2 linked regions of the Nothobranchius furzeri genome follow. The protein of the gene in region 2 purifies or fractionates together with the protein of the main gene of each other region. This does not show direct contact. Links are inferred from orthologs where the notes say so. Each region holds a gene or a part of one and is shown on either strand. Other genes may lie near its edges.

The links.
Region 1: the proteins of slmapa (region 2) and stk26 purify together in Homo sapiens (affinity purification with mass spectrometry; 5 studies listed by BioGRID and IntAct, with this or other methods). This does not show direct contact. The link is inferred for Nothobranchius furzeri from reciprocal best matches to the Homo sapiens genes SLMAP and STK26.

Annotation. Positions count from the first base shown.
Region 1 is NC_091742.1:86,839,889-86,848,202, reverse strand, and holds part of stk26 (serine/threonine-protein kinase 26), read right to left. Parts: intron 7,310-8,314; coding exon 7,241-7,309; intron 7,163-7,240; coding exon 7,001-7,162; intron 6,824-7,000; coding exon 6,767-6,823; intron 3,804-6,766; coding exon 3,695-3,803; intron 2,656-3,694; coding exon 2,498-2,655; intron 1-2,497. UniProt on the Homo sapiens protein: Serine/threonine-protein kinase that acts as a mediator of cell growth. Modulates apoptosis. In association with STK24 negatively regulates Golgi reorientation in polarized cell migration upon RHO activation.
Region 2 is NC_091743.1:68,924,098-68,932,411, reverse strand, and holds part of slmapa (sarcolemma associated protein a), read right to left. Parts: intron 6,263-8,314; coding exon 6,200-6,262; intron 6,088-6,199; coding exon 5,992-6,087; intron 5,810-5,991; coding exon 5,738-5,809; intron 5,654-5,737; coding exon 5,513-5,653; intron 4,784-5,512; coding exon 4,646-4,783; intron 4,406-4,645; coding exon 4,237-4,405; intron 3,772-4,236; coding exon 3,721-3,771; intron 2,694-3,720; coding exon 2,586-2,693; intron 382-2,585; coding exon 316-381; intron 1-315. UniProt on the Homo sapiens protein: Associates with the striatin-interacting phosphatase and kinase (STRIPAK) core complex, forming the extended (SIKE1:SLMAP)STRIPAK complex.

The sequences.
Region 1 (8,314 bases), on a different chromosome or scaffold from region 2:
ACCAGTGGTAGACATGGATGTGGACATCAGACTGGTGAAATAAGTCCCACTAAACCTTAGATCAACAACCTACTTTGTTTGAGTCAAAATGGGGATTAAAATCCAGCCTACCAACTAGACACGTTTCAGATTTAACCCCCAATTCAAGCTCTTTCTTCAGCATAACCCTTTCCTGACCAGAATGGTAGAATTTTCCACCTAAGCGGGTTTGAACTTTAACTTTATTAATCAAGGTGAGGGATCTGATTGGATCTAAAGAGAGGCGGTGAGTTAGCGTTAGCCTAACCAATACAATCCTTTCCCTTTGAGCCATGACAGCCCACTCAGACCTCCACTCTGGGCTGGTCCTAAGCTGTACCGCCTTTGCTGAACCGTTTAAAACTCATTTTTCACTCTTTGGTTGGAAAAAGCAAAACAAACAATGTTTTTACCTTTTTAACAACTCAGATAAAGAAGAATTAGGCGATTCTCTGAACTAAGCTGAAGCATCAGTTTGGTAAAATGCTTTTTTCCACCATGTTAAATCACACAGATGTCATAATTTTCATCAACTGAACCTCCGAATCTAACACGAGGTCCAGCATCATGAACTCAGACCAACTGTCATTTGAGCAGCAGCAGATTTACTTCCTCTTTGTAAACTTGTTCTGACTGCTTGGGTTACGAGGTTGTGGCAAACTGTCAGCTAATTCAACAAGCTGCAGTCCGTCTTTGTTTTCTTTATGAACTCAACAAGAAAACCATCCCGACTCACCTTTATGCATCTTTCAGCTCAGATACTTCCTGTTGAAGTATTACTGATTATGGGATTCCTGAATCCATGAAACACATAGCTAGATGACATTTACAGATACACACTCACTTTATAGAGCAAGTCACCCCCTACCAGAGTCTTACTCCACTCCCTGTTTGAAAAATGCAACAAATGCTCATAATGTACCATCTAATGTCATAGTGTACCTCTTAGCCAACAGCAATGGCAGATTTAAATTCAAATGCAGTGCAAAGTTGTTACCTGAAGAGGGTGCAGACACCGACAGTTTTAGCCAGAATATTTAAATTTGAACTAAGATGCACTAAAGTGCCAAATTACTGACTACAGCATGATTAGAGACTCATATATATATAGTTTATGAGCAAAAAAATGTAGATTTGGGGGTGACTTGCTCTTTAAGGAGTTTTCAGTAACTTAAAGTTACAAAAAGACATCTAAAAAGCCCATCGGTCTGAAAACCACGGATAAGTCAGACCACATGAAGACACGCCCAAATGGACGGGGCTCTGCACACGTCACCCTGTTGTGTAATTCCTTTGTACCTTTATTTACTTTGTTATTCAGTCTTTTTATGTTTGGTGCAGGCTGGAGCGTTCATAAACACAGAAATCTACCTCAACAGTCAGCATTCACCACCTGGAAACCATGGCTTTTGTGTGTGAGGCAGCTGGCTTCACTTTTAGTACTCCAACAAAGAGCCTGATGAGGGAATCCCAGCAAACCTGAAACCTCATCATGTCGTCGTCTGCTGCACAAAGCATCAAACACAACCAGATGGCTGGACAGGCCTTTTCATCACATGCAAATAAAACCGGGAGCGCTTCGGAAATAATGCAAACGAGCTCAGAGTCGCGTTGATCCACGCAGTTTAGGTTGCCTCAGAAATATGCAAACCTCGTAGCACAGCAACAAGGAACTCGAACTAGGGTCAAAGCTGTTTTTAGACCTGCCTTGGACCTTATTAGCCAGTTAAAAACAAAAGTTTCTGTGTCAGTCAAGATTTAATAACAGAGAAATGTGGGTTTTCAGATACAGTGGGGCGTCGTCTGCGTACGCGATACGTTTCTGAACAAACCAGCACGCAGACAAAATGATTGAGATTCGGATCTGCATTACTGGCTCAAATTAGCTTCCTCATGTTGACTAACAGAAGCTCTGTGAGGTGGTTTGGTCTAGGCGAGATGAGACGTCATTTCTAAAACAGACGTAACTAAAAACAGCTTCTGCTTTTAGACACTAAAATAATATAAGTTTCATGTAGTTTTTGCACACAACAGTTCATGCAATAAATCAATTTCCACAGCAGATCTGAAGCTTTTTAAAAGACCAGAGGACACAAGAACCATTTTTAACGTCACGTTATCGGCCATGTTAACATTACCTGCCATTTTTTTATAGCTGAAAGTTTTATTCTAGTTTTTTATTATTATTTTTATTCTAATTTATTCTATTTTTAATCTTATTATTCATGTTATATGTAACACATTAGTACCGAAGCAAGTTCCTAGTTTGTGAATTGTTTGCTCACTGACAATGGCAATAAACCTATTCTGATTCTGATTTACTTTTAATAGAACTAATCTGTGGGTTCAATTCAATTTTTGGAGTAAAATGCAAGAAAATAAAATCTAGAAAGCAAAGAAAAATTTCACCTTTTGGTCTCAGCTATGTTGGAGCTAGAGAATAAGGCATGAAGGTTACCAAGGTAAACAGGTGACTGACCTTTGAGTCGTAAGCTGACTGCTGGATGACCTCAGGCGCCATCCAGAATGGCGTTCCCACGAAGGTTTCCCTCTTGATTTGTGTGTCTGTCAGCTGACCAGCCACTCCGAAGTCAGCCAGCTTCACGGCGCCATGCTCCGAAAGCAGGACATTGGCGGCTGTTGACAATAATCAACTTTTATTTTTAATATCAAACTATAATCCAGCTATCAGAAAGTTTGTCCAAACGTAAGAAAAACATCACCAATAAGTTACTCTTTACTGATAAAACAGCGCAACATTTATTGGCTGATGGACTACTTTGTAGAGCATATTTTACTCAGTAAGTCTTCTAAACGTGCTGCTGAAGCTACAGATTAGTCATAAATAAGAACAATAAACGTTCCGACAAACTTCCCAAAATAAAAGAAAGAAAAAGAAAATATTTTTAGATTTAGAGTCAATATCAAGTATCTCTAAATAACAAAAAAATGCCTAAGATGAGGAGGATAAACTAACGTCCACATATGTGGTGGACTCATGGGCCATAGGGTATTAGATAAAGTTATTACCCTACATTATTATTAGATTCATTTCTTTTAATATTTTAATGTCATCATTATTCAAATATTTAACATGAGAAGAGAACATTTATTAGTTTCACATCATTAACTAAAATTATAAGGTGGTAAGTTTTATTTTTTTGTCTTGGTGTGGAGGTTAAACATTTAAGAAAGATTTTTAACAGAAAAAAGATCTTTTAAACGGATCTGCAACTAAAACGGTTGAATGTGGTGCTGCTGTCAGAGTGGTTTACCAGGAATGTAAAAGGTCAAAGTTCATAGACTAAACTAGGTGTTTCCAGAAATACATTTAAAATAAATAGTTTTACTTCAAAGCAGGAGTTTGCCTTTCAATGGGTAAAAACAAAACTTTTAAAATGTGGTAAAGGAATGTCTAAAGAGTTTATTTTGTTAAACTAATTTTAGCAAGAAATTTTAAATGAAATCAAACAAAACAAATTGACCAAAAATGAATATTTTCACAACTTACACTGTAAACTGGATGATGACAAGGAACACTAAATGATTCTGGGCTTCATCAACACCAAGCACTAAAAGTTTGGATCTCTGCAGCTTCTCGACTTAATTTTAGTTAAATTATTATTATTTTATTTTGAAGGATCTTATTTTGAAGGATCTTATTTTGAAGTCTAACCTTTGATGTCTCTGTGGATCTTCTTCTCAGAGTGCAGGTAGTCGAGACCCTTTAGGATCTCCTTCAGCATGGTGGCAATCTGAGACTCTTCAAATGGTCCCGCCTTCAGCTGCGCGCACAAACGCACGCGCACGCACGCACGCACGCACGCACGCACACACACACACACACACACACACACACACACACACACACACACACACACACACACACACACACACACACACACCAGGTGATCAGGTTCATTCAGAATCAGATTAATTTTAAATAAGACTATGAATTAATCAATCGATTAATGTTTATTTATATAGCGCTTTACACTACCCAGAGGGCCACCAAAGGTTTAACCCTTTGGGCGCCAGATTTCTTTCAAGAAAATGTAAAATTTTGACATGACTGTTTCAAAAGGTTGTAGCTCGGAAATGGTTAAAGATAAAGGTAAACTGTAAATGAGAAAAATCTTCAGTAGGACCCAAAATTTGTGTTGGGAGCAAATTCGCTCATCTAATTTGCGCATAATGACATCACCAGGCTGCCATATTGGAATGCATCATTTTTACAGATGTTCCTCATTTTTTCAGGTTATTTAGACATTTTCATCATAATTTGACATTTCGAATTTATATACATGTATATAAAAGCTCTTGAAATTTGAATTGCATTGTTTTTTTATATTGTATTTTTTTATATTTATATTGGGCTCACTCTAGAGGAATGCGTTTAGTCATATTTGTCAGGTTTCTTTGGGATTGTGCAGCCTCAGGGACGTCCTTCCCACGAATATAATGATCATTTGATCCAAAGGAAAAATATTTTTATGATTATTTGCCACACTTTGGCTTCCGTACATAACGAACGCATCTGCTGCCTTTTTACGGCTTTTTAAATTTTTTTTACATTGCCGCTACGTCTGTCACGTTAGCGATGTTTTTAACCATCATTTCTACATCCACCATGTCCCAAACACGGTGAAACAAACTTCAAACCCAATGTTTGGAGCTGGTGCTGCACTAATAACATCTCCACTATCTTCTGGTGTAAAGTAGTAACTTCATCAGGGATCGCATTTGTAGCTGTGGCTCGTCACAACATCGCGACTTTGTTGCTTAAAGGGTTAACATTTAATATGGAAAGAAAGAAAGTAAAAGTGACATTAAAATAATTAAGAACCATGATAAAAAGTAAAAATCAGAACCAATGTAAAACAATTTAGAACTACTATAAAAAGTTATACAAAATGAACGCCATTTTAAGACGACAAATATATGTTGTTTGTTGTTTATGTTCTTAGCAGACGCTTTTACCCAAAGCGACTTACAATTTTTTTTTTTTTTTTTAACCTATAGAGCATGTTGTGATCTGTGGGGGAAACCGGAGTACCCGGAGAAAACCCACGCATGCATGGGGAGAACACGCAACTCCACGCAGAAAGGCGAGTTTTGAACCTGCGACCTTCGTGCTGCGAGGCAACAGTGCTAACCACTGTGCCACCATGCAGCCCAAATATAACCGGTTAAAATGCAAAAATTGGGATTCAACACAGATAACACCCCCAGGATTTTGAAAAATCATGTGAAAGAGGCGTCTTTAATCCAGACTTTAAGAAGGTGACATCAGTAATCATGCGCAGGTCAAGCTGGCACGAGGGAGCCTTGGCGATCATCTCGCTGTCTGCATTCAGATCTCAGAACATGTAGATAAAATTTAGCAGAGGGTCTCGTTTCTCTGCCCTGCTATTGTAATGAGAGCCTGTCACAGATGTAGGATGGTGCGAGCCCACGAACACCAGAAACAGTCCAACCTTGAATTCAATTCTGAAGCTAACAGAGAGCCAATGAAGTGATGAGAGGACAGGAGCGACGTGTTGCCACCTAGGGATGTTGGTGAGCAGACGTGCAGCTGCGTTTTGGACTAGTTTTGTGTGCTAGGCTCGTTTACAGAGCATTGCACCAATCCAGACGGGAGCTGCTAAAAGCCTGCTTGGCTCTTTCCAGGTCACAGTGACTTAAGACGGTTTTACGTTAGCTAAAACTGAGCTGAAAGAAGCTAGTCTTGATGACTGAGTCAATCTGCTTGTCAAAATTCAACACAACACAACAACAAAAATGACACCCAAATCTCTGACCTGATGTTTAAAACTTGGGGCTAAAGATCCAAAATCCGAGTGTGACATTTTGTATGTTTGGTGGGGAGAAAAACAAAACCTCTTTTTTGTCACTGAGGTGTAAGAGGATTCATGACAAGCACAACTCTAAGTCTTGCATGCTGTTAAGCTTGGTTTATGCTTGACGCATTCACTTTCCGCGCGGTGATGCGGCTCGCGGATGGAACGTGCTTCACAACTTGCAGCGTTTATGGTTCGTGCGGCTCGTCTCTGCGGTGAGCCAATATTCTCCCAAACTGTAGGGGGCAGCATGGAGCTCTACGGCATGCATCCAACACTACACCATAGTAGAAGTAGAAATTACTGTTTACAACATGGCATTCCAGCATTTTTTAACAGCGTCCTCGTCTTTTCCGACAGTGCGAGCTATTTCTCTCCAAGAATTATTAACAACATGTTGATCACGGTGATCTTTGAGAGCTGAATCATACAAATGTCTGTGTTTACGAACCTCTGCCGTAGTAGTTCTTGCCGGTCCGCCATGTTTTTCCGCGTCCGTCTGTCCGCGTGGTTAGAAATTTTCCGACGTGCGCATTGCGGAAATTCTGGGCCGTGCGGAGGCGCGGTGGAGGGGCGTGGTTGTTAAGATGACGCAAAATGACGCAACTTTTCCGCGCGGAGCGGTGCGGACCTCGCGGACGCGTCAAGCATAAACCAACCTAACGGGGCAAGACATTGTAGCACCATTGCTGGACTTTACTGGCTGATAAAATGCAACATAAAAGCTCAGGTTTGTCATCAGAGAACATCGTGTCTCAGATATTTTAGATGATACAAGATTAAGTGTGAGGACATTTAATTTTTTTTTACTAAACTGCAGCTACTTAGCATAAAACTCAACCTGAAGGTTGTTTTAGTGTTAAAAACTGTCTGCAGACAGACTGAATAGATAAATCCAGCTCGCTCACCAAATCCAGCGCTGAACCACCACCCAGATACTCCATGATGATCCATAGTTTACTGCCCTGAACAAGAAAACCATTTGTGTTAATAAGTTACAGCAAATGCAGCAAAAGGAAAACGATAAGCAGATGCTGGAAACCAGCAGCAGACACTAACTACGGCTGCTCTCTGTTAACTGTTTCACACACACCTTCGTCACCGACGAGACTCGGATCAGCCTGAACTATGTCTTTTCTCACCTTCAGGTAGGAGCCAAAGTATTTGGTGATGTATGGGCTGTCACACTGACTGAGCACGGTGATCTCCTGCTGGATGTCCTCGATCTCATCTTCCGCCTCCTCCAGGTCGATCGTCTTGATGGCGACAACACTCTGAGAGCGATTATCGATGCCTTTGAACACCTGTTGGAGGTAGATAAAAAGTTAGGATCAGGAAGGAATGGAATGTCTGAGACAAAACAAAGATGAAAATGGACCCACTTCTCCAAAAGACCCTTTTCCAATTCGATCCAGTTTGGTGAACAGCTCCTCTGGATCCACGTGAGAACTCTGAGGAGAGGAAACGGAAACATGTTGTCTTAAAAGTGTTTCCTTTGATGGAAAATTATTGTGATATAACACTAAATTAGTTTTTAGAGAAATGCCTTCAGGACAGTTATTAGCATCATAAGTAGGGCTGCTCGATTATGGCAAAAATAATAATCACGATTATGGTGACTGAAATTGAGATCTCGATTATTTAGGACGATTTTTCAATTTATGTTGATTTTATTTGTTTTTATTCCGTCATAAAATTGCTCAGGGCACAATCAGGACAAAAATAAATAAGAAACAAGATGATCACTAAAAGACATCACAATATACCTATAGACACATTACTAGTGTGTGTGTGTGTGTGTGTGTGCGTGCGTGCGTGCGTGCGTGCGTGCGGGCCTGCTTCGTCTTCTCAATCCCCAGTGAGTCGTGGAGGATGGCTGCTTATACTGAGCCAGGATTCTCTGGAGGTTTCTTCCTGTTAAAAGGGAGTTTTCCTCTCCACTGTCGCTTTATGCTTGCTTAGTATGAGGATTGCTGTATAGTCACTGACACTAGTCAGTGACTTGATGCAATTTGCTGGGTTCCTTATATAGGAAACATTATTTCTGATTGGTTTAATGAACTGTGAATTGGAATGTTTATTATGTGAAGTGCCTTGAGACGACTCTTGTCGTGATTTGGCGCTATATAAATAAACTTGAATTGAATTGAATTAAAATAACCCGATTCCCAGTATAAAAAAGACCAATACACTTATAGCTCATAGTTTATGACCCAAGGGCTATAGACCTTGGTTTCAGGGGTGTGTCCAGGGAGTGGTCTGGGGTAGCACATGCCACCCTTGGAATCTGATTGGCCACCCCAGGTACCACCACACTAATTTAACTTTAAATAGGCTTTTCATTGTCCACAAAAGGCTTGGGGGTAAAACAAAAAGAAAAGCATAACCATTGGTGCCACCCATGCACAAAGTTGTGCCTCACCTGGGCCACCCCATTCTAAAAGATCTGGACACGC
Region 2 (8,314 bases):
ACGTGTGTGTCTTAGCATCCAGAAACTTTAAATACATTCTCTTTGTCCAGCAATTTGTTGTATGAAACTATAACTATTTTCATATATATTAACTATCTGCACCCAAACATTACAAAGAAAGTTTCCTCTCCAATAAATAAAAAAACAATTCTTAAGTTTTAATAAAGAAACACGATACTGGCCCTTAGACCAACTCTCTTCCTTGTTGACTTCTGTTTTGGTGCTCTTCCTGACAGCAACGAGCCTCCGTAGAGCAGCAGGTAGAAGATAAAGAGTGTGTATCTGTAAACATCTGAAGGGCATGTTTGTACTCACGCGGACACTCAATCAACTGTGGGGTTCTAGGTGAGTCTCCTCCACTGTTGTTGACATGACAGTTGTCTGACAGAGACACAGAGGACCACAACCATCAGACTGGAGCCGGGCAGAACTTAGACCTTACCGACTCTGCTCATCAGTACCAGATAGAGCTGGACCTCAGACACAAACGTGATCTTTGTTTGAAGCAGGGCTTCTTAATCTCATTATTATTTGTATGATAGTATAAAAATTTTAAATCAGAAAACAAATTAGTTGAATGCTGATCTTTTACATTCATACATACGTTTGTATAAAGACTAGGGGTGTAACGATACATGTATCATATTCAGAGTTCAGTAAGGGACAGAGTGTACCAGGTTCCCCCACAGACATGTAACATTAATTTTACCCAACAACACATGCAGCTGTGTCCCAATTCAGAGGCTGCATCCTTCGAAGGACCCGACCTACCCGGTCTAGGGAGGCTGGTGTCGGTACCAGACACCAGTCCTTCGTTTACTGAAAGTGAGCGACTGTGAAATTTGAAGGTCTAGCCTTCAGATTTATCCCTGCCCTAACATTGGCTTAAGTATCATCGCCTAGCAACCATGACAATGTTAAATAGAAGTTCATACTTAGCAGTGATGCAGGCTGCCTCTGTCCCCATTAGGTCTGGAGGCAAAATAAATAAAGTATTTTGAATTGAATTGAACTGCAACTACCAACAGATCTGTCCTTTCAGCAGACAATGTGGACAAATTCATATTTTTATCAAACATGTGATGGTTGAATGAACCTGATCAAGGCTACAAGCTGGAACTCCTGATGCTGCATTAAGAAAATATAGAAAGTTAATTTCCTAAACTTTTCAAAAATTCTGCCTGATGTTTCTGTTACAGCTGAGAAAATCGAACCGTGACATTGAAACCGAGGTATGTACCAAACCGGGATTACCCCTTCTTTCCACCGGAGCCGTCAGCAGCAAGTTACTGCAGCAGCACGTCTTGCTCGCGTAAGCTGCTGCTTGGCCCTTCCCACGAGACGCGAAGCAGCAGGGGAGCAGCTGTCACCGACAGAGCACGAAGTCACATGAGTGACTTCGTCAGTAAACACAACAACAAGCAGGAGAAAATTACAACATGGTTTGTGTTTTATGTTCTGTCCGTTTTATAATCGCCAAAACGGACCTGAAACACAAAGGAGACCGCTAGCTAGGTGATAACTTCTCACGGGGCCGCACAGCTAGTCACTTTTTTTTAAAGTAAAGTAACCGGAAGGCAGTACGTTTCTTTATTCTGAAAATCTCGGGAGCTTCGCTCCGTTTCCGCATCCGATTTCCTGTCTTTCCTTCCCCAAAAATGTCGAACTTGACCCGTTTCAGAGGTGTCGCGCGTAGAAAATAGAACCAGCGCGTAAGGGCCGTGACATGCTGCTCCTGAGACGCGGCCGACTCGCGCTGCTGACGGCTCCGGTGGAAAGAAGGGTTTACAGGCGTGCCGTTACACCCCTAGTGAAGCTCTCAACATTGTAATTTCCTGGACTGAAGAAGCAGAATCATAATAGAAAGATTGAAGCATAAATCCCAAACAGTAATGTTTTATGAGTAATGCCACAGTGAGGACAATGAGACAGATAAAAGCAATTAAAGCATGGCAGTGCTGACGAATTATAGACAGACAAAAACTAGATGGACAGACAGGCGCTGGCCAGACAGATGGGGAAGAAATCAAAGATAAAAAAGCAACAACTTGTTTCCGAGAGTAAAACACGGTGGTTCTGGTACCAGAACTCCTGCCAGAACAACAAACAACTGCAGACTAGCCAACCGTTTTACATTGAGATGTCTTTTGTGAGCGTGAACACTGAAACTAATTCTCAACACCCAAACATTATTTGCTTCACAACTGAAACAAAGAAAAGCATGAAGGGATTATTATTATTAATCACGTTTCTTCTGGACAGAGAACTCAAACAGGCAGCCTAATAAGCAAACCCGTTTCTTATATTTACATTTCTACTAAATTCCTCTGGAACCAAACTTTGTTCCACCTTTTAAACATGTTTGTTTTTGAATCAAATACATCACTGGTGATTAACATGAACTCTTATCTAGTTTTCTACATTTGTTTTTAACATAAATCAAATTAACAAACAATCCCTAGAAAGAACTCAAATATAACATTGATTCCTTCTTTATTTGAAAGCATAAAGGGCTTATTGTCTTTCATTCTGAAGACAAAAACGTGCTTGATATTTTATTCTGTTATGACAATTAAACTAACTACCATCAGTATCTGAATCCCGCTCATCTTCGTCTTGGCTCTCAGCCGTCTCCAGGTTCAGTTTGTCTTCGACAGGTTCCTCTACGGGTCCACGGGAGACCGTGTCGACATCTGTCATGTGACCAGATCAGACACACACCATTTTGTCGGAGGCTCTACCAGCTACACACATGCACAGCACAAAGTCTAAATGATGGAGGGCTCCTGAGAAATGTGGCTGCTGTGGCAAAGTGAGCAGTGAACAGTCACCTAAAAGGATGGCGTCGACATTCAATCACCAGGAGTCAATCAGTGACCAAAAGCTTCTTTAATTTCCCCAAGAAGAATAAACAAAAGCAGTGGACAGTTTGAAAACTGTGGAAACAACCCAGACTATCAAACAAGCCCATTAAGAGTGGACAACACGTCCCCACGGACAACCCTTCTCAGACTGAAACACACCCAGTGGCTAAAATAAATGACTGTGTTGTTTTAGAAACGCAAAACATTCCCAGAGACTTCGAAAATCCAGTTAGATTGATTTTAGCGACATGGTCACACTCACAGCTACGTTTTAAACCCACTTAGTGGGAGAAAAAGAACAATTTGTCTTTTTTTCTAATAAACATTCATGTGGACGATGACTCTGGCCTCTTACAAAGCTTTGTGTTTTTGACTGGTTTTTATTTAATGTCTAGTTTCTATATTTAATTGTTCTGAAGCCTGATATAATAAAATATTCTAATGTGAAGAGGAAACATTACTCTAAAACAAAAAACAGTTCTTTAGATCTTTAATTAAAAACATAAAATGGGGGGAGTTTGTGTCTCTCCAAGCCTGTAAAACGGAGTCAACACACTTTCAGGTGTTTGTGGATTTATCTGTAATCTCTTTATGAATCATTTCTTGTCCTATTCCTGGAAGACAGGCTGAGTGTGAACATCCCACCACCTCCAAGATGAAAACAGAAGATGAACGACCAGAATCCCACCGTAGGAAACAAATGAACAAAGAAGAGCTGCAAGAACGGTGAGCAACAGGAAAAGGAATATCATGCAGCAGGGTGGCATGCATCGTTAGTGCAGGATGAACGTGTGAAGTGAACGGCCACAGACACACAACCTTTGTCTCACAGCAGACTGGAGACACGTGGACTCACCAAGACTGTTGTTCTCTTTAATGCTTTTCTCTTGTAGCTGTTCTAACCGCACTGTAAACAACAGCAAAGTAGTAACTTACAGAAGTAGATCTGATGAGACACTGCTGATCCAGCTTCTGATCTACAAGTATTTGTCTTCATAGTGTCACATAGCACAGTGTTTCCTAACTGGTCCTCAAGGCACACTGTCCTGCATGTTTTCCATGTTGTCCTTTTTAAACATCAGTGTTTCCCTGCTGCCAGACACCTGACTTAAATGAATGAGGGATTAACAGGCATCTGCAGCACTTGATGTCCTCCTGAGGAGGCAATAAGGTGTGCGGAAGCACGGGAAACATGTAGGTCAGTGTGCCCTGAGGACCAGGGTTTGGAAACATCAACATGGAGGACATGATTCACTTTGAGGTTAATTATGGAAATTATGATAAAATATATGATTAAAGGTTGGATTAAAGAGGTTAGAAGTAAGGACAAAGTAAATCTGTCAGGGTAACTGTCTGATGAACTAATTTGTACCTTGGAGGGCCGCGAGTCTCTCGTTTGTAAAGTCGTTGTCAGCCTGCAGAGCCTCAATACGAGCCTGGAGAACCTGCTCCTTCTCCTCCATCTCTTCAATTCGCATCTCCATCTCCCTTTTCTCTGTTGCCCCCTGCTGAGTCAGCTCCTCCTGCCTGCCCTCGGCTGCCTGGAGGAGAAGAAAAGGAGCAGCAAAAATCAGGAAGGGGAGACGAGTGTGAAGCAAACCAGAAATAAAACAAGCAGATGAAATAAAAAAGAAAAGAGTTGTTTTGAAAGATAAAAGAAAGAAAACATGAGGTAAGAAATAAAATAATACATTTTAGTTTTAAACACACAAACAAAGCTTTCAAAAGACGTTTCTATGCTGACTTAATTCTCGTTAATCCTGACCTGTTTGTTTAGGTACCTTAATTTTGTCAGTGAGCTCTTTGATCTCGTTGACAGCAGCGTTGTATTTGTTAGCCAGCTCCCTCAGCTCCTCCTGGCCCCTCTCTGACATCTCCTTCAGGTGGGTACACTCATCCTCGGTGTTACTGAGAGCGCGCTGCAGAACGTAACAATTTTTTTTTATGAACAAACAGCAGCTGTGGTTCAGTGACACAACCATGTGGTTCAACCTATGAATCCTCCACAGCATCAGTGGGTGAGACAGAGACATCACGCTGCCTCTAATTAGCTCAAATTGTCTTTGTGGGGAATGAAAAGTGCTGCACCTCTACATGAGTGCAAATATGGGCATTAAACTAGGTTGTAAAGCAGTCTGCAGAGGCTAGATGAGGTTAAAGGTTATGTTCAAACTGCCGGTCTTAGAACTCAAGTCTGATTTTATGCTGAAATGCATTTATCTGTTTGTTCCCATTGTAACTAAAACAAAACAGCAATTAGACTCGTGTTATCAGTCTACAGCACTGAAGAGACCCCAGGTACACAAGATGTGATGTCACACGTGACTAGCTCTGTTCATGCGTGCGAATATGAATGCTGCACATGTTGGTGTGTTTATCAGTTGTGCTATCAGAGCTGACAGAATCATGACTACGTGGTGAACAGAACCGTGTTTGTTTATTGTTTACATTTATGATTTTTGCCTCCTCTGGTGAAGATTTGAGTCGCCAGCCAAAGATCAGGGATGTGAAAGGTGGATGTAACGTGACATGAACGTTAAGACTGAGATATGTACCTGATTAAGGATCTGATGTGAAAGCGGCTTAGATTTGAAAAAGTCAGATTTGTGACACTTTTATTTGCTGTGTGAATGTGGCTATTAACCCACCTCAACCTCTGACAACTTCCTGACCACCTCAATCTTCTCCTGCAGGACTCTCCTCAGAGACTCCTTTGCTGTTGTCTCATAGTTGTGTTTGTCCTCCTGAAGAGCCAAGAGCTCCTTACGGATCCCTTCTTCCGTCTGGGACTGTGAGAGAAAACCACACATCAATACTGAATGGTAACATGCTGATTTGAGTGAGCTAAATGTTTGACTGTGTTCACCCATCACCTTAGAGTACGCCTGTAACTGACTGCCCATCACTTCCAGTCTGGAGAGGAGGCGGTCCTCATCGATCAGAGCCTGGATGAGACAAACTAGTTACTGTGGTTGAAAACTTCTCATTTAATGAACTTGAACTCCAGACAGAAAAAGCATTTATTTTAAAGACAGCAGAGAACAGGTCTACTGAGGATAAACCCTTACACTTGGTATCTGTTTTGTCTGTAGGATGTAGGTGAAGAAGGAAGGTGACCGTTTCCTACCTGCCAGCTGCTCTCCGAGGCCTCCTGTGTGGTGCTTAGCAGGCGCTGCAGAGTGGCCAACTTCTGCTCCAACATCTGTTCTCTGTGTAAGGCCTCCTGCAGAAACGAGACAGCCAAGAAGAAGGAGTTCAATACCACAGAGAGATAAATAACATTCATCGGTCTCGATGTAGATCCACAGACCAACCAGCAGATGTCAGTGAAGTACCTGTAAATACTGGGAGAGCTGGAACAGTTCCTGAGAGTACATACTGGGAGTGTTGGCTGCAACCTAGATAACAAAAAGCAATAACAGCTCATCAATAGTTTGTTTGAACTGAAAGGTAGAGGTGCAAGCTGTTTACAGGCAATCAAATAAAACAGAAATAAGAAAAGAAATGTTTTCAACCAGGTGCTGGTGGGGTTCTGGAGCCAGTCTGATACTGGTTTAACTTCAGAGCAGAGTCAAAGCAGGAATACTCTTCCAGTCAAATTTTTGAACTTCCTTTAGGAAAATTCTGATTTTCTGTGTAAGATCAAGCGTCAGTTGGGTCAATGAAAAAAAAAATAACACGATGGTCACAGAAATAACTTGAATCTGACAAAGGTAATAACTAATAAAAATTTTATGAAATGTAACCGTTTCATTGCTTCATTGCTTTTCAACCATGCTTCAACAGAATTATAAAAAAACAAACACATGGAACAGGCCTGAACACATATGATGTTACCCTGGAAAAGACTGAGAATTATGTGACAAAAGTGACATGTTAATTCAAGGGGTGTCCGCTAATTAGCGTCATGGGTGTCTACAATCTTGTAATCAGTCAGTAGACCTACACATATAGGGCTCCAGGTAGTCACTGTGATGTCTGGTGACATGGTGTGTACCACGCACAACATGGATCAGAGGAAGCGAAAGAAGGAGTTGTCTTAGCAGATTAGAAAGAAAATTATAGACAAGCATGTTAAAGGTAAAGGCTATAAAACCATCTCCAAGCAGCTAGATGTTCCCGTGACTACAGTTGCACATATTATTCAGAAATTTAAGATCATTGGGACTGTAGCCAACCTCCCTGGACTTGGCTGCAGGAGGACAATTGATGACTAGTGAAAGAGACAGATAGTCTGAATGGTAACAAAAGAGACAGGAAAAACATCTGCAGAGATTCTAGGTGAACTTCAAGCTCAAGGAACATCAGTGTCAGATCGCATCACCTGTCAATGTCAGTGTCAAAGTGGACTATAAGGGATATGACCAAGGAGGACACCCGTTATTGAAAACAAATCATAAAAAAGCCAGACTGGAATATGCCAACCTGCATGTTGAAATGCCCCAAAGCTTCTGAGAGAATGTCCTATGGACAGATGAGACAAAAATGGAACTTTTGGCCAAGGGACATCAGCTCTATGTTCACAGATGGAAAAAATGAAGCATATCAAGAAAAGAACACTGCCCCTACTGTGAAGCATGGAGGAGGCTCTGTTATGTTCTGGGACTGCTTTGCTGCATCTGCAACAGGGTGTCTTGAATCTGTGCAGGGTACAATGAAATCTCAGGACTACCAAGAGATTCTAAAGAGAAATATGCTGGCCAGTGTCAGAAAGCTTAGTCTCAGTTGCAGGCCATGGGTCTTGCAACAGGACAATGACCCAAACCACACAGCTTAAGACACCCAAGAATGGTTAAGAGGAAAACACTGGACTATTCTAAAGTGGCCTTCTATGAGCCCGGACCTCAATTCTATTAAGCATCTGTGGAAGGAGCTGAAACATGCCATCTGGAAAAGGCTCCCTTGCTCATGATGAGTGGGCCAAAATACCTGCTGAGAGGTACAGAAGTCTCACTGACAGTTACAGGAATCATTTGATTGCAGTGATGTTAGTTGGGGTACCATCGTTTTTGTCCAGGCCTGTTCCATGAGTTTATTTAATAATTCCGTTGAAGCATGGCTGAAAAGCATTGTGTGACTTTCACTGGTTCAATTTCATAGAATTTTTATTTATTATTTCTTTTGATTCAAGTTATTTCTGTGAACATTGTGTGTTTGCCTTTCATTGACTGAAGGGCACCAACTATTTGGCCCATGTCTAGCAAAAGGATTCCTCATTTCATTGTACATCTAAAGTTTGACAGCCTGCCGATGGGAATGATCCTTCCAAACCAAGAAGACTTTTCCGATATTGACGAAAATTAGTTTCAATGTGTGATGTCTAACTGCCGTCTAGTGGAATAAAACAAGGTTTATTTAACACAGTAAAATGAAAACAGCGACTGTTTGCAGCTGCGTTATCTCAGCTGAATGAGTGCTTCTCGTCTGAGACCAAGGAGCATCAACAAATG